3 linked regions of the Stegostoma tigrinum genome follow. The protein of the gene in region 3 interacts with the protein of the main gene of each other region in a biochemical or structural test. Links are inferred from orthologs where the notes say so. Each region holds a gene or a part of one and is shown on either strand. Other genes may lie near its edges. The genes, in order: jam3b, jam2a and partitioning defective 3 homolog.

Evidence for each region.
Region 1: the proteins of partitioning defective 3 homolog (region 3) and jam3b form a complex in vitro, tested with the Homo sapiens proteins (2 studies listed by BioGRID and IntAct, with this or other methods). The link is inferred for Stegostoma tigrinum from reciprocal best matches to the Homo sapiens genes PARD3 and JAM3.
Region 2: the proteins of partitioning defective 3 homolog (region 3) and jam2a form a complex in vitro, tested with the Homo sapiens proteins (2 studies listed by BioGRID and IntAct, with this or other methods). The link is inferred for Stegostoma tigrinum from reciprocal best matches to the Homo sapiens genes PARD3 and JAM2.

What each region holds. Positions count from the first base shown.
Region 1 is NC_081385.1:20,252,925-20,263,063, reverse strand, and holds the start of jam3b (junctional adhesion molecule 3B), read left to right. Parts: upstream 1-5,036; 5' UTR 5,037-5,059; coding exon 5,060-5,117; intron 5,118-10,139. UniProt on the Homo sapiens protein: Junctional adhesion protein that mediates heterotypic cell-cell interactions with its cognate receptor JAM2 to regulate different cellular processes. Plays a role in homing and mobilization of hematopoietic stem and progenitor cells within the bone marrow.
Region 2 is NC_081365.1:12,612,505-12,622,915, forward strand, and holds the start of jam2a (junctional adhesion molecule 2A), read left to right. Parts: upstream 1-5,634; 5' UTR 5,635-6,199; coding exon 6,200-6,248; intron 6,249-10,411. UniProt on the Homo sapiens protein: Junctional adhesion protein that mediates heterotypic cell-cell interactions with its cognate receptor JAM3 to regulate different cellular processes. Plays a role in homing and mobilization of hematopoietic stem and progenitor cells within the bone marrow.
Region 3 is NC_081355.1:130,247,080-130,257,006, forward strand, and holds the start of partitioning defective 3 homolog, read right to left. Parts: upstream 4,373-9,927; 5' UTR 3,755-4,372; coding exon 3,635-3,754; intron 1-3,634. UniProt on the Homo sapiens protein: Adapter protein involved in asymmetrical cell division and cell polarization processes. Seems to play a central role in the formation of epithelial tight junctions. Targets the phosphatase PTEN to cell junctions.

The sequences.
Region 1 (10,139 bases), on a different chromosome or scaffold from region 3:
CGCACTTTTTTTTTGTTCTATAATCAGTGAACTTCTGCCTTGATATTAAGAGCAGTCAGACTCACTTCACCTCTGGTACTCAGCCTCATGTTTGGATCAAGTCTGTCATAAAGTCAGGGCCTGAGTGGCCCTGGTAGAACCCAAACTGAGCATCTGTGAACACATTATTGCTGGGCAATTTCCATTTGATAGCACTATCAACGACCCCCTCCATCATGCTGTTTATAACAAAGAGTAGACTGACGAACGGGAATTGGCTAGGTTGGAATTTATTTTATTGTTTTAGTTTTGTGAGCAGGACATATCTGGGCAATTTTCTACATTGCTGGATGAATGCCAGTGTTGTAGCTACACTGGAACAACTTGGGTAGGGGCGCAACTGATTCCAAAGCATGAGATTCCAGAATATTGTCAGCATACTGTTTGTCCCAAAAGCCTTTACCATACCTTGTGCCTTCAACCATTTCTTGATATCAGTGGAACGGATTAGCTGTACATTGGCATCTGTGATGCTGGTGACGTCAGGAAGGCCATGATGGATCATCCAATCTTTTAATCATATATTCTGAATTGTATTGGTAAACCCAATAATTTCAAAGAAAGTTTTGTTCAAACGGATTCTCAATGGTTTCATTTTGAAAAGAATGCACTTGATTAAGTTAGCTGTAAACATATTTGATTATCTGATAGAAGCATCATGAAGGCACAGCAGCAACTTTTAAACAAGACTTCCTTTCTGATAAACATCCAAGACGATGCAAGGTCATGTTCAGTTTCATTAAGTTTTAGCCACGATTAGACCTGAAAGGACATCCTTTCCCCAAGGGAGACCGTAAATCTGAGGCATTAGAGGACTTTAATCATAATATATGAACTCACATGGGGATTAGAGGTTAAAAACCTGCAGCAAAGCTCAGCTTATGTCCTCTGACATTAGTCAATGTATGGCAAGATTGACATGTTTACACGTGTATGTGACAATGCTTTGCTTGATCCTGCTTTTACAGAATTAACATGCATCTGATTACTCAAGAATTTACAGGTAGATTAAGTACTATGCACTGCATTTGTGACCCTTGAAAGCAAAGCTGTTGAGGTAGAAGGAATATTACTCCTTATTTTGAGAATGGATTACAAACTTGACTTTTAAATTATGCTGGAAAGAAAATCACAGGATGTGGACAACACAAGAATGTTCAAATATAAACAAAATACAATAATAACCTGATTTATGCTGATAATAATGTTAATGTTGTACTATTATAGGCAAATGACTATTTTAGATTTTAAAAATTAACATTACATTGTAAACAAATAATTTCCTATCCCTAAATATTACAAATAATTCTGAAGTACTGAAAGGTCATCTCTATTCCACCATTTTACTTAATATGTCTATTATTTAGTTCAGTTTCAACAAAATGGCCTTTCTTCTTCCTATTTTTGTTGTTGCTTGGAAACAATCTAGCTAAATAGTGATTCAACTAAGCATACTCCCTGCATGCAATTATTCCTCTCAAGTATTGCCATCAATGGTACAAGTAAAAAGGAAAAGAACTGAAGACACTGGAAACATGATCTAAATACTGAGCATATACAAAATGCACAACAGATAAATCAGCATCAGTAAAAAAATGAAGGCAAATATTTTGAGCATAGATCCTATTGTGACAAACAATTTACACAAACAAATGTTGTTAGGGCCACTGTTTATTTCTATTGTTTGCTGTTAGGCAAACATTTTATTTTATGCCTTTCATGTACTTTATTCTATCAAAGCAGAACCTACTATTTGCTTGATAGTCATGAAAACATACTTAGAAAACAAAGTGCTTGATGATTACATATCACAAATTCAGTAAAAAGAGCAAAATATTGGATCATATTTCAAACAATTTATGATATTGTACATAATAGCTATTCTAAGTGTTGATTTACAAATACCATCCATACCTGCAAGTTTTATGAACTAGTATCCACTGCAAAAAGGACAATATCAATGAAGTGGGATACCTACATTGATAATTGTTACTCTGACATAATCTAGGTTGTAAACTGGACCTGTTCTGAGGGATAGCATCAAAATCAATAGCCTGATTGTGCTACTTTTACTTTGGAAAACAATGTAAATACAATTTTGGTTAGGAGAGGGTTAGAAAGTATTAAAAAAAAATTGTTGATTACAGAAGTAGAAACTGATTATGTATCAGGGAAGTATGAGGAGTTGCTAGTTTGAACTAATATAGGATCTTTACCTTAAATGATCTTGAATTATAATCACTGATTCAATTGTTGACAATTGCTTTAAATCATGAATCCAATGTTAAAATGGCTAATACTGAAATTGGGTCAGAATAGATTCAAATGGAATGCAGAAATCAACATTAAAGTATTTCCTGACAAGTTACATGTTGTGAATATTGGTCAAAATGCAAAGTTTGAACAAAATCACTACTCACCTCCTTGAGAAATTAATATTGGTAATATCTATGCATAATACACTCCAACATTTTAATGTTATTTTTCCATTTTAAAACGTACATACCAAAACACCAAATTAACATTACTTGGAGAAACATGCAGCTTGCTGAATTCTATTCCAGCATTTGAGCAAATATCAAAAGTTCAGTTAATGAAGAAAATTAATATAAATTTAGATAGCAAGCTCGTTGACTGAGTATAAGTGAAATATCTACACTCTGTAGAATTAGTCATGCCCCTGTGTAATTTCCCAATATCCAAAGAAAATTGAGTCACCAGAATCATGTATAATCTTTAACAAAGTTTTAAAGAATAACAGTGTTTTCTCCTGCAACCTCAAAGTTTCATGACAAGTTAAAATAAAAACATCCAACTCATCTGACTCATTCATAATTTGTGCTCATTTGTCAGACAACTTGGAAAGTAATTTATAGCATCTTTTGTAGCATAAGTATTCAATCTAAGACTCTTTTTAATAATGTTACTAGACAAACAATATAAATGCTAGAAGATTTTTTTCTCAGATTTACTGTGTTACAATTTTCTGTTATTCACTGGAATACATGGGGGCATGTTTAGTTCAACTTCTTCTAGATACTTCACTTAAACTTAGTCTCCTAGCTTGCTAACTAAATTTATACTAATCTACTTCATTTTTGATATTTGATCAAATGCTGGAATAGAATCCAGCAGGTTGCATCAGCAGACACAAAATTCCTCATATTTGAAGGAATAGGCCATGTCTGCATAAATATTATATCTCATAAATCTTTCCATATTACATTGCACCAAATAAATTAATACTAAAATAAATACCCACAAATATTTCCTCATCCGAAGTTTAAAAATCTCATATATGTGTCAAGTCTTAGCATCATCACCCATTGCATTCTAGTCTGCAGTCCTATTTTTAACATTGTTTAAATATTAAGTGCCAAAGTCTATTTTTTATTGTCTGCGCTACATTTTTATCTGTGTTTTATGGTGTGGTTATATTACTTATCAGGATTAATACCATTTTAATGTATTTTCAGCAGCAATGAAACAAGTGTGTTAAACTTGAAGCTGCAATATTATCCCTTCACTCTGTTCCTGCCAAAGTTTTCAATGTACAAGTAATGTTGTTGCTTTTTCTGACCTTATGTTAATGCCTTCAGTTAATGATATCTGTCATTATGAATTAAGAAATATTAAGTGCCTATTGCAGTGCTTCATCAACACAGGGAACAGATAATTAACTTAATTTATTAATTCTCCTTGAAATGTTTAGTCTACAGTGACAAAACATATTTATATAGCACCTTTCATGTTTTAAAATACCTGATGCATTTACAGGAGCATTTAAAAAAGGTAAAGTTTCCATGGTTCCAGAAGACCATAAGACTACTCTCTCATTAGAGAATGATGACCAGTGTTAAGGGTCACCATGAGGGTCACCATGCCCACAGGCGAGGGACGATGTTGAGAAGTTGGGTGGCCTTGTGGTGAACTCAGCTGGTTGGGGAATTCAATCTGTGCTGTTAGCTTCACTCTGTATTGCAAACCAGCAGTTCACCAACTCAGTTGACCAATCCTCTATTTTAAATAAAGTATCACAATGAGCTACATAAAGAAGCATTAGTGCAAGTGATTAAATGTTTTCTGAAAGAAATGTATTATAAAGCAGAAAAGACGTCTTAAAGGTGAAAAGTGAGGTAAAGGGAATGTGTTTCAGAGGTTGGAATCTTGGCAACTGAAGTCATATTGGAGCATTTAAAATTTGGAGTACGCACACAGCAGAATTAGAAGAGTACAGATATCTCAGTTGTAGGTCTGGAGGTGATTGAGGAGATTGGGAGGAATGAAGCCTTAGAGGGATTTGGAAATGAGGATGAGAAATTTAAAATCAAGACGTTGCTTGAGAGGCAGCCAGTGTCAGTCAGCAAGCACAATATTAATAGAGGAATGGACCTTTCTGTAAGGTAAGACAACAGAGCATAAGATGACTTCAAGCTAACAGAAGGTAAAGTGTGGGAAACCAGCCAGAAGTATGGCAGAATAGTCAAGAATGAGGTAACAAAAACAATACTGAGGGTTTCAGCAACAGATGAGCTGAGACTTACAGAGGTGGAAATCGACTGTGCTGACAGGAATATTGCGTAGTTTATTGACATGATAAATATCATTTTTAACTAGCACATTGTTTTATTTTTAAATGAGAACACCTGCCATCCAATGCTGAGACTAAACGGGCAGAAAATGCTTCGCCCAGTGTCCAACTCCCCTGCCTTAAAGCGACACAATCGCTGTAACAAATTTGTGAAGAACTATAAAAAGAAAATCACAGTTAAGAATTTTATTTTGGATGGTGGAAACAAAATGTCCCCAGATTGCCCCCACTGACTCTGCCACTCTTACCTGCCTTGCGGAGTGACAGCATCCATCCATTGATCCATCAAACATCCCCCTTTCGCCCCTCCGTGCTCCGTTGCCATGGTTCCTCGTTGTCATGGTGCTGTCGCTCGGGGTAACAGCATCGAGATGGCCAGGCTAAAATCTCTACGCAGGCGCACGACCCTCCCGAGCAGCGGTATGCAAGATGGCGCGAGGGTGCTGGGTGTGGAGGCAGTTTGGGCTTTTTCTCCTCCTGGCGGAGAGTAAGTAACAGGCTCTGGACGTACTAACAATACTTTGTATCCTTGTTACGGTTTGAGTGTTTTTTTAAAAGTATTGTGTTTTTTTTTAATTTTATGTTACGGTCCTGGGGAGCCAGCTGCAAATTGTGCTGTCCGTTAGTTTGCGCCTCAGCAGGGTTTTCTTTCATTTCTCTGTTTAAAGTACTGTAAATCCTCTAATAAGGCACTTCTTGAGTAACATATCTCTCGAGAACAATCGTGGACCAAGGAGCAAGTTTACTTGCATTTTTAAGTTTTGCCTTTGGAGAGAGGAATGGTTCAAATGCTGGAAGTTGAGTTTATGCAGCGTGCGCTTCTTATTCGTTTTTGTCACAAAATTGTAGTTGTTTCTAATTGGGCGCGTTGTATTGCTTTAGGAGTATAGACAAATTGGATGTCTTCCACCGCGAATACTGCGAGTTGTTAAGGTTGTCCGATTCCAGTTGGGCTTCGTGCACAAACTGTAACTCCCTTCCCCTGCCGTGGGTCATTAATTTTATTTCGAGAAAAAAACTAATATCGTTAGATTTCAGAATCCGCTTTCACCAACTTTTGCTGCGGGTTTAAATCCTCACCTGAATCCATCTGTGTTCAGCGCAGTCTCGGGTATGTGCTAGTGAAGTTTGACGTGGTAGTTTACTTGTTTTTTAAAAGAATAACTTTTGATTTCTGGGCTCCTTTTAATAACAATAAAGCTACTAAGTGAACATGCGACTTTACTGTTGATTTCGGCTGCGGGATGTTGGCCAGGCTGCATTTTTTTTTCACAGATGCCTTAAGTGAAATTGGAACAAAAAAAACTCGAAAGCTTCAAGCAGAGAGAATCCGCGGAGCGAGTAAACTTGAGAATGTCATTGAGCATTTACTTGCAGCGTTAACTAATTCTCTCGCTCCTAAAAGACGCTCTGTCCCAGTACTGTGTATCTTGCATTTTCTGTGTATGTTTGATTATCTTCTTCCGCCCCCCCCACCAAGTATTGGTTACAAGTAACATGCTGTGCTTTGAGGCTTTGAATGAAGATGTCCGCCGATCTGAAAGTATAATAACAAAATAGCATAATAATAAACTTTGAATCATCAAGGTAAAGAAAAACTAAGCGTCATTCTTGCAACTGTGTAGGTTTTATAAAATGATGTGCAGTGTGGATGATTTTCTGATGTATGGAGATTGTTTTATAGTCCACTGAATGTGCTGGGGATGTTTATGGCCATGATATTCAGTTCCATTCTCTCTCTTGCTATTTTTCTACTAGCAATTATTTGTATTTTTGCTGTACATGTAACATTGGTGTAATTACTTGCCCAAATTTGAGCTCTAGCAGGGCAGATTACTTGACTTCTCCCATCTTAGTGGAATAGTAGGCTTACATAAATTAGTAACAGTACAAATATCTTGATACAAGTATGGACAGAACCATCTTGCAACCGTTAAGTGCACAGAATCAGCAATCTTACTGTTTAAATTTTGGCTTTGCTAGTTCCGCTAATGCATACTCAGAATGCAGTCTGATTTTATTGTAAAGTGAATTTTACTCTGCACAAGATTTATGCCTAACGATATTACATAAGAATCATATGTGACTACGTTGTACAAGGAATAAGAATCATACAGCACCAGAAAAGGGGTTGGTGGCTAAAATCCTTTGATTATTGTTTCAATGTTGATATTATAAAAACACCTGCCTTTTATGTTAGCAGGTAATCTTTTATTGCAAATCTTTTGTCTGTCATTTATTTACTTGTTATATTCCTTGCTGACTTTTGTGTTCTGCTTGAATTTGTTTTATTATAAACCTGACATTGCCATAGACCTTTTTTATTTAATCTGTTCACTCAGTAGTATACTTTCAGACAAAAACAGAAATTGCTGGAACAGTAGAGCAGGTCTGGCAGCGTCTGTGGAGTGAAATCAGAGTTAATGTTTTGGGTCCAGTGACACAACTTGGATTTCTGTCCACAGATGCTACCAGGCCTGCTGAGCTTTTCCAGCAATTTCTGTTTTTATTTCTAACTTCCAGTATTTGCGGTACTTTGGATTTTTATCTGGTATATTTTCAGTCTTGCTGATGCAGTGTTTTTGGTCTCTGCCTGGTGGAACAAAAGTTCTGTTATTTTCTTGGGGACTTTGAGTTTGCACTCTGTTACTTCAAATGTGCATTAGTCATTTTAATGCCTGTATAACGTTACTATAACTTCTCACCATTTAAGAACTTGCAGTGTAAAATTAGCTTTCAGACATTGCTTTTATTTAAAGTGCTCAGATGATAATGCCCTGGTTTAAATGAGTGATGTTCCTGTATCTTGATATGGGTTCATAGACGTTACAAGAATAGGCTGGCACACTGTCTTTAGACTGTTCACCACTTAGTGAATTTGTTTACCTGTTATGGTGTTGGTTGACCTTTTCGAAAAGTAATGTAAAACTATACTTGTTTAGCCAAACTTTTATACTACATTGGTAATATGCCCTTCTTTTGAATTCTGACCTTCAGCCTCACAGTAAAAGACACCCCTTGTACACTTCTCACAAATGTTTGGAGAGAATTCATCTTGCCTGTGTTCTTTAGCCTGGATTTTGTCTCACTTGCACTTAAGCATCATTCATAGATGTTGTAAAAAGTAATTGGGCCATGAGATTATTCTCTGGCAAGTAGACAATGCTGCTGATTTTCTGTGTGGCTTGTGAACCCATGCAGTTACACTACTCAAATCCCTTGCATGACACAGTGGTGTGTTTAGTTAGTCATGTTTGTGTAAAATACTAATTCTATTTATTTGCAGTTGTAAAATAACACTTTCTGTTTTTTTTCAAAGGAAGCTTGTGTAGATAAAGAACGCTTGTCAGAATTCTCTCTCTACTGAACTCTCACACCCTCCTCCCCTCCAAAAAGCTGATCAAAAACAAAGTTGCTGGAAAAGCTCAGCAGATCTGGCATCAGCTGTGAAGGAAAAATCTGTTTCTGGTCTGCGACCCTTCCTCAGAACTTTCCAAAAAGCTGATAATTATACCACAGAATTATGTTAGCTGTTATAAGTAAATTATATTGATGTTAAGATTTGCCAAGAGGAAATCTAACATTACAGAATAAATTTAGTTGAAACAACAAGCTTTTAATTAAAATCGGAATATCGTAGAAACAGTTGTGGTAATTAAGGAAAAGCTCCAGGTGAGAATATACATACTGGCAAAATTGTTTAATTACTTAAAGTATGTTATCCCATTATTTGTGTAGTATTTCTATACCAAAGTACAAAATATCCTTGCTGAAACTAGTCCTCTTTTTTTACTTCTGTCTGTAGTACTGCAATACTGAGACTGTTGCTGAGATTGGCAGTGTGGATAACATTGTGCCATGAGTAAAATACTTGGTATTTTGGTGAGGTGGAGAGGAGGTGAAACTGAAATGAACAAGTTAAGTATTCATTAACTGTTTCATTACCGTGTCTGGAAGGAATCTTTCGTCACAATGTAGGACACAGAAATTGTACACAGCTTCAATATTTTTCCAAGGCTAGTTATAAAGCTGATTTTGAGTTTGTTTGGAACAAGAACCCTTTGTTCGTACTGTAGAACAGCAATCATGCTGCTAACTCCTCCAACAAACCAGGTTTTGTTTTGATCAATGACAGCTTGCACAGAAATGAGAAACACAGAACTAGATAGATCCGTACACGAGACACCTACTTACCAACTTCAGCAATAAACCTTCATTGTATAAGAGAACAAACGCTACCTCGTTTCATTACACAGGTACCTAAAAATATGAATCTTCCATTTTGGATGCTAACATAACTCAAGACTGCTAAAATAATATGAAATTTTCTAATTACTTGTTTCTATTAGGCATTCATTACAGATGTAACTTCTTTTTGATTTTATGAATTTTAGCTCATTCTGGTAATGTCTAGTCAGTTGTTTAAAATCACTTTCAGTGGAAGAAATGTTGTATTTGGATTTCCAAACAGCATTCTAAGGTCCTATATGTTAGGTTTTTAGTAAGGTAAGAGTCCATGGTATTGAGGGTAGTAAATTAGCATGAGTAGAGGATTAGCTAAAGGGTGCAATTTCAGGATGGTATGTAACTAGTGGAGTGCTGGAGGAATCTGTGTTGGAGCCACAATTATTTACGACATACATTAATGACATAAGTGAGTAGCAGAGTTTGAGTGCCACAGAAGTACGTGGGAAGGTGAGCAGTGAGGATGACAATATATAAAGGGATATAAACAAGTAGGTGGGCAAAAACTTGGATGGAATACAATGGCAGAACATTTTGATGTTGTTCACTTTTGGCAGGAAGAATAGAGCAACTGCATACTTAAGTGGAGAAAGACCTGTCAAATGCTGCAGGACAGGTATTTTGGGGTCCTTGTGCATAAATCACAAAACTAACAAACAAGGACAACACGTAATAAGGAAGGCAAATGGAATATTGGCCTTTGTTTTAAACAGAATGGATATAAAATTAGGGAAATCTTGCTAAAACTAAACCAGGCACTAGTCAGACCATACCTGGGATACTATGAGCAGTTTTGATCCCCTTGTCTAAGGAAAGACTTATTAGTATCAGAGGCAGTCCGGAGAAGGTTCAGTTGGTTGATCTGGGTATGGTGAGTTTGTTTTATGATGTGAGATTAATTAGGTTTGGTTTGTACTTATTAGAGTTTAGAAGAATGAGGTGGTTGCCACATGCAAGATTCTTAGAGGACTAGACAGCATAGATGCTGAGATTGATTCCAAACTCAAGGCATTATCTGAGAAGAAGGGGCCATCAACTTGAAAACAATGAGATTGAGATTGTATCTGTGGAATGCTTGACTGCAGAGACCTGTGGAGGTTGGGACGTTCGGTATATTCAGTCTGAGATTAATAAATCTGTTTCTAAGGCAATAGAGTCCTATGGAAGAGGCAGGGAAACAGAGTCAAGGATTACCAATCATCAATGAATACACGAATGGTGGAGTAAACTCTGTATTGAATGGGCTATGCCAGCTCCATTATTT
Region 2 (10,411 bases), on a different chromosome or scaffold from region 3:
CCGCACCCCCAGCTACCTACTAACCTCATCCCACCTCCTTGACCTGTCCGTCTTCCCTGGACTGACCTATCCCCTCCCTACCTCCCCACCTACACTCTCTCCACCTATCTTCTTTACTCTCCATCTTCGGTCCGCCTCCCCCTCTCTCCCTATTTATTCCAGTTCCCTCCCCCCATCCCCCTCTCTGATGAAGGGTCTAGGCCCGAAACGTCAGCTTTTGTGCTCCTGAGATGCTGCTTGGCCTGCTGTGTTCATCCAGCCTCACATTTTATTATAAAGAGATAGTAAGAACTGCCGATGCTGGAGTCAGAGATAACACAGTGTGGAGTTGGAGGAAAACAGCAGGCAAGGCAGCATCAGAAGAGAAGGAAAATTGACATTTTGGGCCGGGACCCTTCTTCAGAAATGGGGGACAAGTAAAGGAGCTCTGAAATAAATAGAGGAAAGAGAGGTGGGACTGGGGAAGGTAGGTGGAATGCTAATAGATGAGTGCAGGTAGGCAGTGGTGGGGATTGATCAGTGGGGATTCCTGCAGATGTATTTGGATGGAACACTAATGGCGTCCCTCACCTCATACATCATGCAGGAGGAACATTCCTCTACTGCACTCCCATCCCTGCTAGTCCCCTTATCAGAAAGTAATAAAAAGAGAAGCTTACCACATCAGCAGATGTGCAGGCCTGTCTGAAGTGAAAGGTTTTCTTTGATTCCTTGGATGAAGGTGAGGCAGGGGGAAGCGTAGGGGTAGGTGTAGCACCTCCTGCCATGGTGAGGCTAGTGGTGAGTGTGATGCGGATGAGGGAGTCATGGAGACAGCAGTCCCTACGGAAGGCAGATAGGATTGGGGAGGGAACTATATCTTTGGTTGTGGGGTCAGATTGCAGGTGGCGGAGAATTATACATTGAATCCGAAAGTTAGTGCAGTAATACGTGAGGACAAGGGGGATTTTGTGTTTGCTTTTTGTTGCAGGGTGGGGGTGTGAGGGCAGAGGTACAGGAAGTGCAAGAGATGTGGTTGATAGCATTTTCTGCCACCAAAGTGAGGGAAATTGCGTTCCTTGAAATACAAGGACATCTGGGATGTTCGGGAGTGGAACGCTCCATTTTGGGAGCAGACGTGGCAGAGGCAGAGGAATTGGGAGTCAGGGATCGCATTCTTGCAGGAAGATGGGTGAGAGAAGGTATAGTCCAGATACATTTCCTGCTTTGTTTCTCAACAATGTTTGACATATCAGAGACAACCTATGCAGCTTAAAATTTACAGGAAGTCTGACTGTGAACTGTCAGCCAGCATTAACTGATGCATTCACATGACAATGCCTCTGCCTAGCAGAATTGACTTGCCAAACAATCCAACATGTCTCCTCACAAAGCATAATCATGTTGATTTCTGCCTTGAATTGGAATTATTGTGCATTGTCCTAATGAGTGCAAGATAAAAGGCTTCAACAAAAGGTACCTTTTTTCATAATGCTCCAATAAAAATGTTAAGAAGTAACATATTCCAGAGGGTAGTAGGAAACCAACCCAATCTGGAACACACCACAAATACTCAAAGAAACATCCAAATATTATATGAAGTGGAACCAAACTATGAATCAGTTGCAGCGATTTAACTAAAATGAAAAGAACTGTGGATGCTGGAAATCTTGTACAAAAACAGAAATTGCTGGAAAATCTCAGCAGGTCTGGCAGCATCTATGAAGAGAAATCAGAGTTAACATTTCAGGTCCAGTGACCCTTATTCCGCACTCAACCCAAAACCTTAACTTTGATTTTTCTCCACTAATGCTGCCAGATCTGCTGAGATTTTCCAGCAATTTCTGTTTTTGTACAAGATTTAATAAATACTTTTCATAAGATAAGGATTACTAATCCAAAACATATACCTATTAGGCTACCATGTCCTCACTATGAGATTTTTACTCAACTTCATGTACACAATACTATGCGTACAATATGAATACAAGCCAAGATAGGAATTTGCATCTACCAAATGAGTGGCAGGAAGCAGCCTCATACCATTAATATATTCACCTTTCTTCTATATATTACTTGCCTCATACATATTCCCCCAGATAATTGCAAGGCTATAACAAGAAAGTTATGATTGTGAGTAATGAAATGGTCGAAGCAAACAATGTAAGTGCATTTGGGGACAGCTGTATAAATACATGAGAGCAAAAGGAAAAGGATATATTGATAGGGATGGATGAAGGACATTAGAAGAGGGCTCAGATGGGGTACAAACGCTGTAAACATTTGGGGTAATGATCTGTTTCTGTGCTATTTGGAAGTAACTTTTATTATACAACGTGCAAGACACTGCTGTTTCCTATAGAGGCGAAAGAACTGTTTAAAGAATACTGGGAAATGAACATACAGGCCATCCTAGGGTTGCATTTCCAGGTATAAAAAAAGAGTCTGACTAGTATTCATTATTTCAGGCATCTGAAGGGAAGTGCCAAACAACAGAACAATTGAAACATTATCAAACAAATTTTCCTGCGGATACCAGAAATTGTTTGATTAGGAATCTGCCCAGGAAGAAGTGAAGAAAAGATATCTTCAGAAGCTGCCCCAAACACAGACAACTCCTTCTCAATCTCTTCAAACACTGTTAATCCTTACAGCACACAAGAGTAATGTTGTGACATTATGACTGGTTACACCAAGGGACCAACAACACAACTTGCTATAGATGAGAAGGCAAGATCATAAAATTATAGAACTGGAGTAAACATTAGGAGGCCACTTTTTTAAATTCAATCGTGGACATTGGTGTTGCTGTGTGGCCAATATTTATTCCCCATCCCCAGCTGCCTTTGAACTGAATGACCTGATAGATCATATCAGAGGGCAGTTGAGAGTCAGTCACATTGTTGTAGGTCTGGAGTCACATGTAGGCCAGACCAAGTGAGGATTGCAGTTTCCTTCTCTGAAGAAAATTAGAGATGTATGGGTTCTTCTGACAATTGGCAATGGTTTTGTGGGTATCAGTGGATTCTTAATTCAAGGATTGTTTTAAAAAATGAATTAGCCTGTAATATATATGGTGGCTCTTTGAAAGAATAATCAGACACCCCTGCTTTTCTCCATAACCCATATGTTCTTCAACCTGAAATACATCCCATCTTCCTTTTCAAATTATTTAAGGTTTCAGTCTCCTCCAACTTTTCAGACAGTGTTCTAGGATACAATAAATCTTTGTGGTAAACAAAATTCTCCTCATCACTCCTCCAGATCTTTCAACAATGATCAAGGGAAACAGAATTTACAGCTTCCTGGCACCTCAGTCTTGATTGCATATATTCCTGTCTTACTGTGAAAAGTTTGAAAAACTCTCAGTGTGTTTTACACAATGCATTACTTTTCAAAAGAATGATGAGTATGTCTGCATATCTGTTACCAATTCTTTACCAATTCTGTTATATTTAAAACAATGAAATGTCAGCGTGTTCCTCCAGACAACAGAGATAAATGGATAGGAGTTTTGAGGTGATATCAGTCAGAAGAATGTTTATGAGAGCACCAGGAAAGTCATATCTCTCAAATTTAACTATACAAAGTTAGCAATGGCTCAGTTGAAGGGGTACTGACATAAAGGGGTATGTGGAGAGCATGGGAATCTGACATTAGGCCAGATGATCAGGTATGATATAAAATGGCATGGCAGGCTGAATGATCTTCTCCAACTCCTATATTCCAAAATCTAAAGGTCTGAACACAGGCTGAGCGCTCTTTGTCTCTTTAGAAGAAAATGTATCTGGTGACAGTACTGACTGAAATGAAGCATCAGGAAAAGGTATAGCCTAGAGGTCATAAACATGAACGAATCATTAATAAATCTAATAAAAAGTATTCAGAAGAAACATCTACACCTAAAGAGAGGTGAGAATTTGGAATTTGCTACAATGAGAAAGAGGGAGGGAAGGTGAATTGGGTTCCTTGTTTTCAAATTCTCAAAGTATCTGCAATGAAAGCCCAAAGTTCTTTTTAACATGTGGCTATAGCTTTTCCTGATGCTCCATTTCAATCAGTATTGTCACCAGATACATTTTCTTCTTAAGAGACAAAAGAGTGCTCAGCCTGTCTTCAGAGCTGCATTTATTGTTTCTTCTCCTTTCTCTGCCAAAAGCAGCTCCCTGAAACACAAGCTAATTTGTATACCCTGTGTTGCTGACATTTTAAGGCTTATTAATTGTAGACAGTTATACCTCCAACTGTGAATATTCTCATAAAGGTGTCAATCAAAAAAAAGGATGAGGGCCATTTCACACCTACTCGGGGAGTTTTTTTGTTTGGCTGGTTTCATACCCCTTAGGGAAGATGTTAATTTCAGCATGGATTGAATTTGCCCAATCTGCATTGTTGTCATAAAACATGGTCAACCTGTATGGGTCTGGTAATTGCTCTGGTAATTTTAAGTTAGTGTATTTAATCCTTTTTTAAATTCAGATCATGGAAGTCTCAGGTATTAGATTAAATAGATCCAAAAGATTTTGAAACTGGATAGTCCATATTTTATATTATCATGACATAAGAGAAGTGATTTGCATATGTGTGTTTAAGGGGACTCTAGATAAATGCACAAGAAGCAACAATATTCTAAGACAGTAAGACAGAGCAGTAGATCAATACTGGGGTAGTCAGTCAGACAACTTTCCATAGGCTTACACAACTATATAGCATGAAATGATCAGTTCAGGGTAGCTATTATCCTGTAAGTTGGCTTTGATGCACCTGATTTCAGCATTATGTTTGTGTGGTGGACAAATATCTCTCACTCTATTTATGAGATTGCCAAAGAGGCTAATGATATGGTGCACGGAACTGTAGGAATCCCATGTGTTTTTTTGACCAATGAAGTTGGACAGGAGCAGAGCAGTGCAAACGTTAGAGGCTCTCTGAGGTTGCTGCCCAAGACTGGCAAAAATGATAACAGAAACAGAAGTTGCTGGAAAAGCTCAGCAGGTCTGGCAGCATCTGTGAAGAAAAAAAATCCGAGTTAATGTTTCGGGCCTGGTGACCCTTCCTCAGAAATCAGACAAAAGTGATGTTCGTTAACATCAGAGATAATGGGAACTGCAGATGCTGGAGATTCCAAGATAATAAAATGTGAGGCTGGATGAACACAGCAGGCCAAGCAGCATCTCAGGAGCACAAAAGCTGACGTTTCGGGCGTAGACCCTTCATCAGAGATGAAACGTCAGCTTTTGTGCTCCTGAGATGCTGCTTGGCCTGCTGTGTTCATCCAGCCTCACATTTTATTATCTTCGTTAACATCCCATTGTGTTGCCCATCCCCATTTACTGTTGAGCTGAGTAGCTCTCTAATAAAAAAAACCAAAAGAACTGCAGATGCTGTAAATCTGCTGTAAGAGGTATAAGCAACACATGGGGGTGTAACGGAACATCACTTTTGTCTGAGTTCTGAGGAAGGGTCATTGAACCAGAAACATTAACTCAGATTTTTTTTCCTTTACAAATACTGCCAGACCTGCTGAGCTTTTCCAGCAACTTCTGTTTTTGTTGCTGAGTACCCCGCTAGCCCCTTGCAGAGAGCAGTGAAGAGTCAAACACATCACAGTGGATCTGGAATCGCACAAACGTCAGTCAGATGTCTTTCATTTGCCTGAAAGAACTAATTCGTCGAAGAAAAGTCACACCGGACTCAAAACGTTAACTCTGTTTCTCTCTCCACGGATGCTGCCAGACCCTCTGAGTTTCTCCAGCACTTACGGTTCTACTTTATTTCCAGACCCCCAGAAGCCGCAGCTCACTGGCTTTTGTTTTAAGTTGGGTGGATGGAGAGGAGACAGGGGAGCGAGAGGCGGAACGTTCCCCCTTCCTGCGCTGTGGCCATCGCGCGATTCGTGGGACGGAAAGGAAAGGAGCGCAGCGCATGATTCGGCGGAGGAGTTCGGGCTGGCGATAGAACGAACCTCCTGCCCAGCTCAGCAAGGAAGGCCGTGGCAGTAGGACCCTGCAGGCGCAGCCCTCTTAACAAACGGGAGAGAGAGAGAAAAAAGTCTTGACTCACTGAGAAGGAGCAGGAAAAAGAAACAGGTCGGGTCTCATCCCGCTGCACACAGCCTAGCAACCGTCGGGAAAGGCTCTGGCTAAACTCTCTGGGGGCTACCTTTAGCAGACTGACTGGAGTTGGGGGTGTGGTGGCTGCTGGTGGAGACTGTGATAACATGGTGAAAGTTGAAACCTTTGTGTGTTCCTTCATCCTCCTGGAGCTGTGTAAGTACTTGACAAAAGTGCCTTCAAACATTGTCTGCCGCTCCTGTCTAACTTTGGCTCTCTCTGCCACCTCCCCCACCATCACCAGATCCTAACGGTTTCTCTTTGCTTGCTGTTTAGCCACCTTGAATCTGAGGAGTGAGCTGCTTTCTCATTGATTCCTCAGCAGTTTGGCAGCTCTCTGGACCTGCTTTTATTTGGGGTTCGTCCCTGTTGTTGTTAATGTCCTGCCCCCCCCCGCCCCCCCGCCTTGCAGCTTAGGTCCTCGGGGCGGAGAGGTGTTTGTAAATTATTCCTGCAGTTCTGTCCAACAGACTCCCTGCACGGGACGTGTTGGTGGAATGGAGGAAACTTTTGTAGAATTATTTGAAGCCCACACCAGTAATCCGCGGCTGCCAAACTTTGGGGATTTAAAAGGAAAGGAAAATGAAATAGAAAATTCTGGAAACGTGGTCAAGGGGATGATTAACCCTATGTTAGAATACATGCCTGAGTTCAGACACAGTCTCCTCACACACAGTCAGGAGAGTGAGTGAGAGGACAATGGTTGTTGAGTTTAACACCCTTCGCCTCAAACAAGTTGATGCAGTGATCCTAATGTAAAGGCAGGAATCGCACACCAAGCAAGGCCCCCCTCCTCCAGGTTTAATGTATCAGCAAAGGCTACAGTTTGTTGATCCCAACCAAGACAATGACTCAAGGCTAAAACAAAGAACTGCAGATGCTGAAGGTCTGAAACATGAAACAAACAACTGGAGGAGGGAGGAAATAAACTGTCAAGTTTTGTATCTGCAATTGCATGGGAAGGTTCTGTGGGGGGTGTTTGAAATGGAGGAGGGGTGTACCAGAGAAAATGGTCCCTTGTAGAAGGCGAGCAAGGGAAGGGAGGGGAACATGTGTCTGATGGTGGCATCTCACCAGAGGTGGCAGAAGTGGTGGCTGATGATCCTTTCAGTGAGGAAACTGGAGGGGTAGAAAGTGAGGACCGCGGGGTCCCTGTTTGCTGTTGTGCAAAGGATGGGAAGCGAAGGTTTGAGGGCACACTTGCTAGAAAATGGAAATCAGATTTGCGTTTAACAATAAAACAGAAATTTATTCTGTGAAAGAAATGAAGAATAAACCAAACAATTTACAAATTTAAAGATTTCAAAACAGATTAAAATGTAATTCCATTAATCTCAATTGCTTACTCTTTCACATCTATAATAGCACATTTTAACTGTGACTTCAATTTCCTTGTCTTGTGAATCTGATAGGCTTCAGGGAGAGGCTTCATACAACTAAGCTTAGATTTTCTCTGCTTCAAGTAACTCCTTCAGAGGTGTAACCAAATACTTCTGGTTTGGAACTTTCAGAATAAACTTGTTACACTGAGGCGCTTATTTCTTAACAGTTCTAAACTGCCTGTTCTTTTTCATGGGCTTTATATTTTCATGAACTTTATAGATTCAGATTCAGCTAAGACTTATGCAGACTGAAATTGAAAAAATCTTTTCCAAGCTATGATTGTTTTCCGTAAGCCCAAGAAAACAATTCAGGAATCTTTTATCTGAAAGCCTAAAGCACCATTGTGTTTACTTTATTCCATGATAAACTCTCCAAATGTAAACAGATTTGCATTAATCTTCCGAACCTATCTCTCTCATGTTGTGTTTTTAAAAGATTTCACAAAGGCATTAGAAATACTTTATAAGTTCATCATTAAACCCCTTCAGACATTCTGAAAACCCATATGCCACTAGTTCAAAATTGAAAAGACAAAAATAAATGAGATTAAAATATTTATAAATCTCATATGTATGTCACGGGTGGCACTTTAGGATCATATTGCATGAATCAGTGCTTCACAAACTTTTTTCTGCTGTGATCCCACTCTTAGGGAATTCCAGCACTTCAAAGAACAAAAATACATAATGGCAATACATTTTCAAGTTGAAATGTTTCTGTGATTAGGAGGGAGTGTGGAGATATTCTTCCCAAGTGCCTGCTGCCCTTGTTCTTTCAGGTGGTAGAGATCATGGGTTTCTAAAGTGACCATTATTCATGTGAGTGTTGGCTTTGAATAATGGTAGGCTTATTAACTGTGGAGAGTATCACAGTTCAGTCTAATGATATACTGTCCAGTGGAATCAAAACATAATGATCAAGAATGAGAACAGTGATCAGGAGTGAGAAGCATGGCTAAATAATCTCAAGCGTAAATCCTTTTACTGTAGCCGCTTTACCAGTGACTTAGACTCAGGACCTATTGGGGCACCTTCCTGGTCTGTGCTGCTCGGCTACTCACTGATGAAATTTGCCATGGTATTGGTGTTACTTTATCACAGTATTGTAAGTTTGGAAGTCCACTTAGCCTTGTGCTGGCTTATTAAAAGAGTTGTCCAGTTTTTGCTCTAGCCCTGCGACTGTTTCCCTTCTAACATATTTGCTTTTATGAAAAGTTCGGAAAGAGATTTTTGTTTTTCTTAAAAACCCTGTTAGCTTGACTCTCTGTCGACCTTGGCACATGCTCAGCCAATGCAGCAGTAACGACATTAGTTCTAGTACATGGACAGTAACACATTTTATATATGGAGCTCCCCTCCCTCCCCCATATTGGCTGTAGTCCATGTTCTGCTTGCAGTCCAATGATCTTCACCCTTCTGAAAGAGAAAAAGGCCAAAAATGTCTTGCTCATAAAAAATTCTTGCGATTGTACAGTGATCCATGTATTACTTACATTTTGTGTATTAAATAAGAGAAGTCAATATGCTTTAAGTAGAACAATTTTAAAAGGAGTTCAGAAAAGGAGAGACCTGGTGATGTTTGTGCATAAAATCATTGAAAGTGTTAGGACAAACTGAGAATGTTCCTAAAAATGAACAGAATCTTGGGCATGATACACAGCTGCATAGAACAAAAATCTAGGAATTTACAGTAAATTTTTATAAATCAATGTTAAGCCTAATTTGGAGTACGGTTCTGAGCATCAAAGTTTGAAAAGAATGCTGAGTTCTTGGAGAAGGTGTAGAGCAGAATATCAGAGGTATGGAACAGTTATGTGGAACGACTAGAGATACTGAAATTATTCTCTACAGAGCAGAAATGATTAAGGAAGTAGCTTTAATAAAGGTGGGATGTTGATAGGTGAAAGAATGTCTGCTCATTTTCAGGGTCAGTAACCAGATTCAGTGTGAAGGCAACAAAATAGCAAAGAAACATGGAATCCCTGCAGTGCATAAAGAGGTCGTCAAATCTGCACTGATCCTCTGACGAGCATCCCACCCAGATCCACCTCCACACCTTATCCCTGTAACACTGCACTTATCATGGCTAATCCACCTAGCCAACACACTACAAGGCAACCTCGCTTGACTTGCACATCTTTAGATGGTTGGAGAAAACCAGAGCACCTGGCATAAACCCACATAGACACATGGAAAACATGCAAACTCCAGAAAGCCACCTGTGGGTGGAATTGAACCTGGGTTCGTGGTGCTGTGGGGCAGTGGTGCCACCAATAGAATTTATAGAACAAATTGTTTAACATGGCATGAGCTGCCTGAAAGGGTAGTGGGAGTGAGTTCAGTAATGATTTTTGAAGGAAATTGGCTAAACCATTTTTTAAAAAGTGAAAATTACAAGATGGGCAAGGATGATAAGCATGGGACTCGATAAATGACTCTGTCAAGGAGTTGGCATGAGGACAAAGGGATGATGGTCTCCTTTCATTCTGTAATATTCTAGGATTCTACTCCTTGCAATGTCTTAATACCACTCTCTTAAATATCTCAAAGTGCAACAGCAGCAACTTTCAATTGTGTTTTGTATTGATTTCATTGAAGTGGAGAAATTGTTCTATGCAGTATCGTACAGCTACAACAGTCATTTCCCACATGGCAGCATCCTACAAACTCCATTGAGAGGACTGACATGTTGGGGCTGTTTTTGGTACAGGTCAGATCTCCTGTTCTTATTCCTAAATAAGTGAATGGGACCTCACTGCAATAATACAGTCACGTATCTTAGAACGTAAGTTTACAATGTTGGCCCTTATGAGCACAACATTCACCTTTGCTAGCCTCATCCCCACCTCCTTGACCTGTCTGTCTACTCTCCCATCTATTTGCTTCATGATCAACCTGATATCACTGTCCCCACCTCTCTCTATTTATTTCAGAGAC
Region 3 (9,927 bases):
CATACAAACAGATTTAAGAACTGCTTCTTCCCGCTGTTATCATACTTATGAATGGACCTTTCATATTAGATTTGATGTTTCTCAGCACATTCTCTGTAGTTGTAATACTGTATTCTGCATTCTGTTCTATTACACTGACGTAATTAGGGAAGGTACAATTCATCTGTTAACACCACTGTTTTTTGGTACATGCGACAATATTAAATCAAATCAAATTCCAAGCAACTTCAGTCTAGGTCTCTACATTGATACTTAAGTGGAATTTCCAGTACCACCTTGATTCATTAGCAAGTTCCTCCCAGTCATTAGTGTCAACATAGGTGTGCTTCAACAACAGCTTCAGGATGCCTTTGCAGCATTTCCTTCATCCTCCCCATAACATCAGACATTTAAGAACTGAGGAAACAGGACCCAGAGGAGACATTTTCAACAATCTAGGTGTAGCACCCAGTCTATCATGGTTGATACTGCAGGAGCATTGCCTGAACGCTTGTGGAGCTGGACACCAAGGTGTCAAGTTGCATTTGATTTATTTTCATTTATTTTCTAAACCTTACTCCAATTCTCTCAAGTGTTTAGACTTATATTCAATCATCTGGAAACATTAATATTTCGAAGGAAATGGTGATAGGACTAGATCAAGCAAAATGGGAGGAGATTCACATGAAGCATACACACTGTGTGAAGTAGTTGGTCCAAGTTTCTGTGCTGTAAGTAATTTGTAATTCATGTTTTAATGCTTGTACTCATCTTAGAAATTATGCTTCCTACTTACAAGTGAAAATAATTTTTAAATAATTTACACATTCAATGCATCATAAAATATATACTGTTATTTGTTTTAGGTTTTTCAATTCAGCTGCATCCTTTCATTTTTGATATATCATCCCTGTTAACCACTACTGTGCCATTTTATTGGCTTCCAATACTTCTTTTTTGACAATTCATTCACAGGATGTTAGTGTCATTGGCAGTCTCTAATAGAAGTCCAAGGATGATGATGATGATGGACACCTTCACAAACTACTCCATCCACAGTGCTGTTAGGAAGGAACTCCAGCTGTTTCACTCAACAGTGAAAGAGCAGCAATACTGTTGCAATTTGGGATCATGTGTGATTTGCTGAAGAAACTTGGTAGTTACTCTGTATGCCTGCTGCGCTTGTCCTTCTAAATGACAGAGATTGTGGACTGGAAAGCGCTGTGTGTAGACTGAGGTCTTAAATTAGATGCTTGTGAGCAGGCCGCTTGCACGTAATCTAGTTCAACACCTCAGCCTATTACTGAAAGAACACAGCATTGTCAGAGGTGCTTATCTTCACGTGGCACAAAAAACCAAGTATTAAGACTGTGTATTCAAACAAGAACAGCAAGGTTTCCTCAACTGTTCAACAGCTTTTCTTCAGTAAAGATCATTCAAAACAAAACAACTGAACATTCATCTCATTACTGTTCGAGATTGTGCTGTCTGCAAAGAAACTGTCACTCCCCTCTGCAAATTAAGAATGACTGCAGTTGAGAAGTAATTCAACATGCATCAAGTGTTTTGTGACATCCTCAATGACCTGTTCAAGTGCTGTCTGCATATAAATATGAGATCCATTATTCCGCTCAATTCATGAATACCTTGTTTTCATTCTTAATGCATTTACAGATCAAATCCTGCATTCCCACCTGTATCAGTATTAAAACTTTTTCTTTAACCTAAATAGCAACCAACAATTTTTCCGGTGATGAATGACTTGCTTTAGATGAGAATTTTTTTTTCCCCCACAGGAATTTGTTAAGGCTTTATCCAGTGCAAGGTCAATTGAAAACTAGACATTAAACATGCAACCAAGGTGAATGAATAACATTTAAAATTAAGTTTATGGGAAGTCATCAAAAATTGTCCACTCATTACAAAACTTACTGCTTGGGTGGCAAGGATTATAACACAAAGGATATGTCATCACATTTTTTCAAAAATCAATCCAAAAATATACCTCAAGCAAACTATTTAGCCAATTATTCGAATATTTCTTGCACAGTAAATACACATTTGCAAATTCTAACTACACAGGAACATACAGAAAATCACAATAATTATAATCAAGGAACATTAAATATTTAAGATAACAAAGTGTGGAGCTGGATGAACACAGCAGGCCAAGCAGCATCTCCTGAGATGCTGCTTGGCCTGCTGTGTTCATCCAGCTCCACATTTTGTTATCTTGAATTCTCCAGCATCTGCAGTTCCCATTATCTCTGATACAACGTTAAATATTTAGCCAGTAGTTTTGTGGCACTGTGAAGTAATACATTTACAGCAGGCTACCACTAATACCTAACCTTACATTTCCGGTACATCTCAACTATTGATTAAAAAGTTAGTCCATGCACAAAGTAGGCAATACAGTTTGTGCGACCAATTATCCGATTCAACACAAACCTCCACTTTCAGTTTAACTAGAGTTGGAATACAATTCAACTCAACCAAATAGATTTATATGTATATGCTTTTGGTCAAGAGTTAAAAGATGCACGTGGCAGGAATTTCAAGGTCACAACTGTTCACAGCTCTTCAAAATAATTGACAGGTTTGTGAAAATTACACTTTCATTTGCTTGTGCTAACTATGCAAAGAATAAAAAAAAACGCACTTTTTAATCATAGTTCACACTAACAGTACATTAACTTCAACAATTGATCAGTATTAAAGGTCCATGTAGTTTAGTTATATTTTCCATTTACCTACTTTGGCTAATTGGCCAAACTTTCCAACTCTTATTTTTAACACTTTTCTGAGAAAGTAAACCCTGTTTTAATTACCCAACAGACTAGTCTGAAAACGTTTAGAGTTAATTTTAAAGTTACGAATCTAATTTACTACAATGAGATGACTTTAAATTAGACACCAGTTAGAGGGGAGCAATGTGTCCATCTCAAGCAGAAATTCGTTTCTTTTGTTGCTTGATGCGAAAACAGCGTTATTAGCCAATGAATTCCGATCCTACTCATGCAATCATCTCACTGACAAGACTGACTGGAAATGAGAGAGGGGGAAATAACGCTTCTGTTCCTATTCGTATTTCGGTATCATCAGTAATCAGCGACTCGTCTACGGAATTTAATCGATCGTTCGAAAACATGAAACCCAAATTCTTGTCAAATACTTCCCAGGAAAGGAGTCCGAGGCCTCCGTGTTTGGGAAAGCCTCGAGCTGGAGTTGAGTCACCTTCTTCTCACAGTCCGAGGCCGCTCCATTTCACCTCACACCAGTTTGTATTTTTCTCCCCCGCCGAGGGAGGGGAAAGAAAATAAATTTACAGACAGGAGAAAAATACACCCAAATCTGCCGGGGGATAAAGTTACGAAAAACTTTTTTAATAATAAGAAAAAAAAGATTTCAAAACTTGTGGAGAAAAGGGAGGGGAGGAGGCCGTGCGAAAAGCTTTAACTTTATGGTCGCGGCTTTTGTATTTTGTTTTCGTTTCCTCTCCTCTTTCTGCACTCACCCTCCCTTCGTTAAGCACAGAGGGAGGTGAAAGCTTGTATCCAATGTGAATATCAGGAAGCGCCATGTTGCTCCTGGCTGGTCTCTGGATACATTGTGTCCGCCGCCACTCCGCTCCCCTTATTTTGCCCTCACTCACCTTGGCGATGGCACGGCGGTACCTGGTCACCGCCTGCTGGATCAGGCTGTGCACCGTGATGGCCCCATTTCCACAAGGAACAACCACCCTGGTCCTCGCGAAGCAGACGGTCACTTTCATCACTCGTCTCGGTAACAACAGCGCGCAGCTTCTGTTGCACAAGGGTCTCGTCGGCTCAACCCAAAATAAAGAAAGGGTTGGCGGTTAATCTGTTTCCTTTCCTCTCTCACCGCTGCCGGCTGCAAGGTTGTATCTTTCCTTTATTCCGCCCCGTGCGATGAAATGCTCTGTTTCATGGTGGTGCGAGCGGCCCCGCTCGGGTTGTACACGGCGCCTCTTCCTGCCGCCACCTGTTCCTGTTTGTGGGAGTGGAGCCGAGCACAGCCTTGCCGGAGGAACAGCCCAAAATCAGGGAAGCAAAACCTGGAGCACCCAGTGTCTCCCCGCCCTGGCCGCTCACGGCACCGCAACGTTGCAAATCCAGCGTTCAGCTTCAACCACAGACGTGCAAAGCGCGTTCCTAGCCGCACAGACTGAGGTGAAGATAAATCATTACGGTGTTGCGCTGAGGGCCAAACTTCATCACTAAATACTGCATATATTCACTACCACGCTCCCAATGTCTTCCTTCCCTTGGAGATAGCAAGAACTGCACACATGATCTGATGAAGGATCCCTGAAACTGCTTGACCTGCTGAGTGCCTCCAGCTCCACACTGTATCGACTGGTCCTCTCTCCCTTGCCGTCTGTTCCGTGAATTCGAGAGCTGGCACTGAGAGTGTGCAGGCAGAGCTGGATTGGGTGACCGGAAGACAATCAGCTATTGAGTGCATAGAAGACAATTCGCTCTTTCATGGAAGAGAGATGGTTCCTTGGCATGACAAGTGCAGTAGTGACGGAATATACATGAAAGGAAATAGCTGTTTCTGCAGTTATGAATCCAGAAAGGTGTGTTGTCTCCCCAATGCCAGAGGCCGTGATATATTGTGTGGCTACAGGGCACTTGGAAGGGGAAAAGTGAACAAGCAGAGGTCATGATCCAAATTAGTGGGCACAGGTAGAAAGAGGGGTGAGGTCTTATAGGAAGACCTTTGTGGGCTGGCATGGAGACTATCATTCAGGACCTCAAAGAATTAGTCTCCAGACTACCTCCAATGCCAAGAATTAGATGGTACAGAAGCAAAAGCACAGAAAAATGTGTGGTTGGAGAGATGGTGCAGAAATGAGGGATTCCTACATCTCTGGGGATCGTTCATGGGAAGATGGGACCTGTACAGGCTGACAGGTTGCACCATAACAAAGCTAGGACCAATGTCCTCATGGGATGCTTAGCTGATTGGCAAAGGTTGGGAAATAGCATGTAACATTAGAAAGAAGAAACAAGGTCTGCAAAAGATTCAGAGAGATAGCATTGAACTAAGCAAAAACCAAATGAACTGCAGATGCGGTAAATTAGAAACAAAAACAGAAATTGATAGAAAAGCTCTGCAGGTTTGGCAACATCTGCGGACAGTCATAGAGAGAAATCAGAGTTTAATATTTCAGATTGAGTGAACCTTCCTCAGAACTTCTGAATCTACTCAGAGCAAAGAAACAATAAAGGTGTAATACTGGGTGTTTTCTAGAGTTCAGAAGTTACAGAGGAATAAATTTGCAGCTAAATTACACACAGAGATACAAACAAACTGAAGAATATTGAGAATAGGGGCTTTAATAATCCAGCTACATTTTGAGGTATACTAACAGTATAAAGAGCAGAGATGGAGAAGCATTTTGGAAATGCATTAATGGAAATTTCCTTGATTTGTATGTTCCTGGTCCAATGAGCTCAGAGGGCATTGTGGAACCTCGATTAAGGGAATGAGTTGGATCAAGTGTCAGTCAGGGAATGTGTAGGAAACAGTGATCATTGTATCATAAGATTAAATTGGCAACTGAAAGAAACAATATGTCATTTAGAGTCTAAATGCTTAATTGGAATAGAGCCAAATTCTGTATGGTGAGAACGGATCTGCCCCAGGTAAATTGGCATTAAACAGTAGCAGACAAAACAATGGTCTTATTTTTAAAGAAGAGCTGGAACAGTTGCAATCAAGGTACATTGTTAGGAGAGACATGGGTGGGGTAAGCAAAGACAAAAAACACAGAGAGTAAGATGCCGTCAGGTTGAGAAGTCCAGAGGGGGATGAAGACAAAACTGACAAATGAACATTTTAAAAATCCAAAAATCTTTAGAATATAAATAGGAAAGTGTCGTCTGTCTAAGTTTTTACAATCTTTGATCTGTGCATCCTTGCTTACGATGATCAGCCTGTATGACTCGTAAACAAAGCTTTTCACTGTACTCAGGTACACATGATAAATCAATCAATCAATCAAATATCCCATTCTCAATTATTGAAGAACCCAACACATTAGTACAAAACATACAGCTGAAGACAGAGGCATACAGGTTACCTCGCACAGGTTGTACACTAAGTGAGATCAGTGTTAGCAAGATCAGCATTATTTGAGCCTAAGGCATCTATTCATCAGTCTAATAATGGTGCATGTGTTCAAGCTTCTGTATCTTCTGCCTGACGGAAGAGGTTGTAAGAGGTCATTACCGGGGTGCAATGGGTCTTTGATGTTGACAGCCTTTCCACGGCAATGAGTCATGTAAATAGAGTCCATGGATGGAAGGTTGGCTTCTATGATGGTCTGCGCAATTTTAACTATCTTCAGCCAGAAGTGTTGTGTGGATGATTCATCATGGCCTTCTCCTATGATTCCAGCATCTCAGATACCATTCTTCAGCCAATTTGATTCACTCCACATAATATCTAGAAATGGTTGGAGGCTCTGGGTACTGCAAAGCCTATGGGCCCTGACAACTCTCAAGCAATAATACTGAAGACAAGTACTCCAGAAAATGCCACTCCTCTGGCCAAGCTCTTCCAGTACAGTTCTAACACTGGCTTCTACTCAAATTTGGAAAATTGCAAAGGTGTGTCCTCTGCACAACAAGCTGGCCAAATCCAACCCAACCAAATACTATTCAGTCTATTCTCAATCATCAGTAAAGTGATGGAAGGTGTCATCAACAGTGCTATCGTCAAGCAGCACCTGCTCAGCAATAACCTGCTCAGTGATGTCCAGTTTGGGTTCTGCCAGGGCCACTCAGCCACTGACCTCATTACAACCTTAGTTCAAACATGGGCAAAAGAGATGAATTCCAGTGGTGAGGTGGGAGTGAGAGCCCTTGACATCGAGACTGCATTCAACCAAGTGTGCCATCAAGGAGTCTTAGAAAAACTGGAATCAATGGGTATCGGGGAGTGTGAGGCCATGCAAAGGCTCTGCTGGTTGGAATCATACCTGGCAGATGATGTTGTAGGAGGTCAGTCATTTCCACTCCAGCACATCTCTTTAGGAGTTCCTCAGGGTAGTGCCCTAGGCCCAATCATCTTCAGCTGCTTCATCAATGACTGTCCCTCCAATATAAGGTCAGATGTAGGGATTGCACAATGTTCAGCATCATTCACGACTCCTCAGATGCTGAAGCAGTCCATAATGAAATGCAGCAAGATCTGGAAAATATCCAGGTTTGGGGTGACAAGTGGCAATTAACACTAATGCCACACAGATGCCAGGCAATGACCAAATAAGAGACAATCTAACCATCACCACTTAACATTCAATGGTGTTACCATAATTGAATCCGCCACTTTCAACATCCTGGGGATTATCATTGACCAGAAACTTAACTGGACTAATTGCACAAACACAGTGGCTAGGAGAGCAGGTCAAAGGCTAGGAATACTGCAGTGAGTAAGAAGGCATTTGGTATACTATTGGGTAGTGCATTGAGTACCGGAGTTAGGAGATCATGTACAGGACATTGGTTAGGCTAGTTTTGGAATACCGAGTGCGATTCTGGTCTCCCTGCTTTAGGAAAGATGGTGTGAAACCTGAAAGGGTTCAGGAAAGATTTACAAAGATATTGCCAGGGTCGGAGGTTTGAGCTAAAGGGAGAGGCTAAATAGGCTGGAGGTATTTTCACTGGAGCATCAGAGGCTGAGGTTTATAAAACCATGATGGACTGGATAGAGTGAATAGACAAAGTCTTTTCTCTGGGGTTGGGCAGTCCAGGACTATAGGGCATAGGTTTAAGGTCAAAGGGGAAGGGCCTATGGGGCAACGTTTTCAAACAGAGGGTGGCATGTGTATGGAAGGAGCTGCCAGAGGAAGTGGTGGAGGCTGGTACAATTACAACATTTAAAAGGCATATGGATGGGCATAAGAATGGGAAGGGTTTAGAGGGATAGGGGCCAAATGTTGCCAAATGGGACTAGATTTGTTTAGAATAACTGGTTGGCATGGACAAGTCGGACCAAAGGATCTGTTTCCATGCTGTACATCCCTATGACTCTATGACTCTAAGTCAGATGTGTGATGGAATACTCTCCACTTGCCTGCTGCAACAACAGTGTAGAAGCTTGGCACCAACCAGGACAAAGCAGCCCACTTGATTGGCACCAAATGCACAAACATTCACACCCTCCACCACTGACACTCAGTAGCAGCAGTATGTACTAGCTACAAGATGCACTGCCGAAATTCACCAAAGATCCTCAGAAGCATCTTACAGACCCACACCCATTTCCATCTAGAAGGACAAGGGCAATACATACATGGGAGCAACACCAGTTGCAAGTTCCTCTCCAAACCACTCATCATCCTGACTTGGTAATATATCACCATTCCTGCACTGTTGTTGGGTCAAAATCCTGGAATTCCCTTTTGAAGAGCATTGTGGGTTAACCCACAGCAGGTAGACTGCTGCAGTTCAAGAAGGCAGCTCACCATCTTCTGAGGGCAACTGGGGACTGACGATAAAATACTGCCCTGCCAGCAAAGCCCGTGTTCCAGGAATAAAAATTTACACATGGAAGCAGACAGCGTGGTTGATGCACTTGTTCCAGAGAAGGGGTAAGTCAAACCCGTCTAATAGGATAAAACCAAAATACTAGTCGTACTAGAGGGTTCCCTTCTGAAACACCCAGAGAAGCTCGCCTCGCCTTTATAATTTGTTAAAAGTGTGGTTAAAAATGAAAGAAAATCCCTGATATCCACTTTATAAGTAAGACATAACAATTTATTTATTTTTCTTAATTAATTTTAAAGGCCGTCTTACTTTGTGTCTGAATGTCAACTCAAATGGAGTAAACTAAGGTGATTTATTTGGGCCATCTCTAATGCCAAACATTATAAATGGGTCCGTTTATTGCAATAATTTGGCTAATCCTGGCAATAAGCCCTCAGCATGGTTTTTAGGGTCTGGTGCCACCTTCCCAATGCTCCCTGTGATTCAAGATGGTACACACTTAATTTAAAGTGTTTGATGCCTAAACTATTCATGATCTCCTTAAATAGTTTGGCAGTAAAATTGGACCCTAGTTCTGACTGAATCTCCCTGGGTAAAGGAAGCAAGCAACTCTTCCACCTTGACACTCCATAATGGAATTGCCTCCAGAAATCTGGTTGACACATCCCTTATGGTTAGCAAATACTGGTTTCCACTTTTGGTTTTAGGGAAGGGACCTGCACAATCAACCATAATCGGCGTACAAGTTTCTTCAAATGCGGGAATTGGCATCAAAGGCCTTGGTTTTATTACTGCATGAAGCTTTCCTACCATCTGAGATGTATGACAGGTACGGCAAAATTCAACCACATCCTTATATAATCCAGGACTTTAGAAATGCTTTTGTATCTTAGCCTGAGTTTTCCTTGCTCCTAAATGACCCCCCACCAATAATTTGTATGCTACCTGTAATATTCCCGTTCATATGCTGCCCACAGCACAACCTGGTGAACCGCCACCCATTTCTCCTCTGCACCAACCTGCCAAGGTCTCCATTTCCACCTTAGGATTCTATCCATAAAGTAATAAAGGGGCGGCATGGTGGCTCAGTGGTTCGCACTGCAGCCTCACAGCACCAGGGACCCGGGTTCAATTCCAGCCTCGGGTAACTATGTGGAGTTTGTACATTCTCCCCGTGTCTGTGTGGGTTTCCTCCAGGTGCTCAGGTTTCCTCCCACAGTCCAAAGATGTGCGGGCGAGGTGGATCAGCCATGTTAAATTGCCCGTAGTATTCAGGGGTGTGTGGGTTATAGGGGGATGGGTCTGGGTGGGGATGTTCCAAGGGGCGGTGTGGACTTGTTGGGCCAAAGGGTGTGTTTCCACACTCTAGGGAACCTAATCTAATAACTTTCTGGAATACATTCTGATTCTTTTTCCAAGTAGGCTT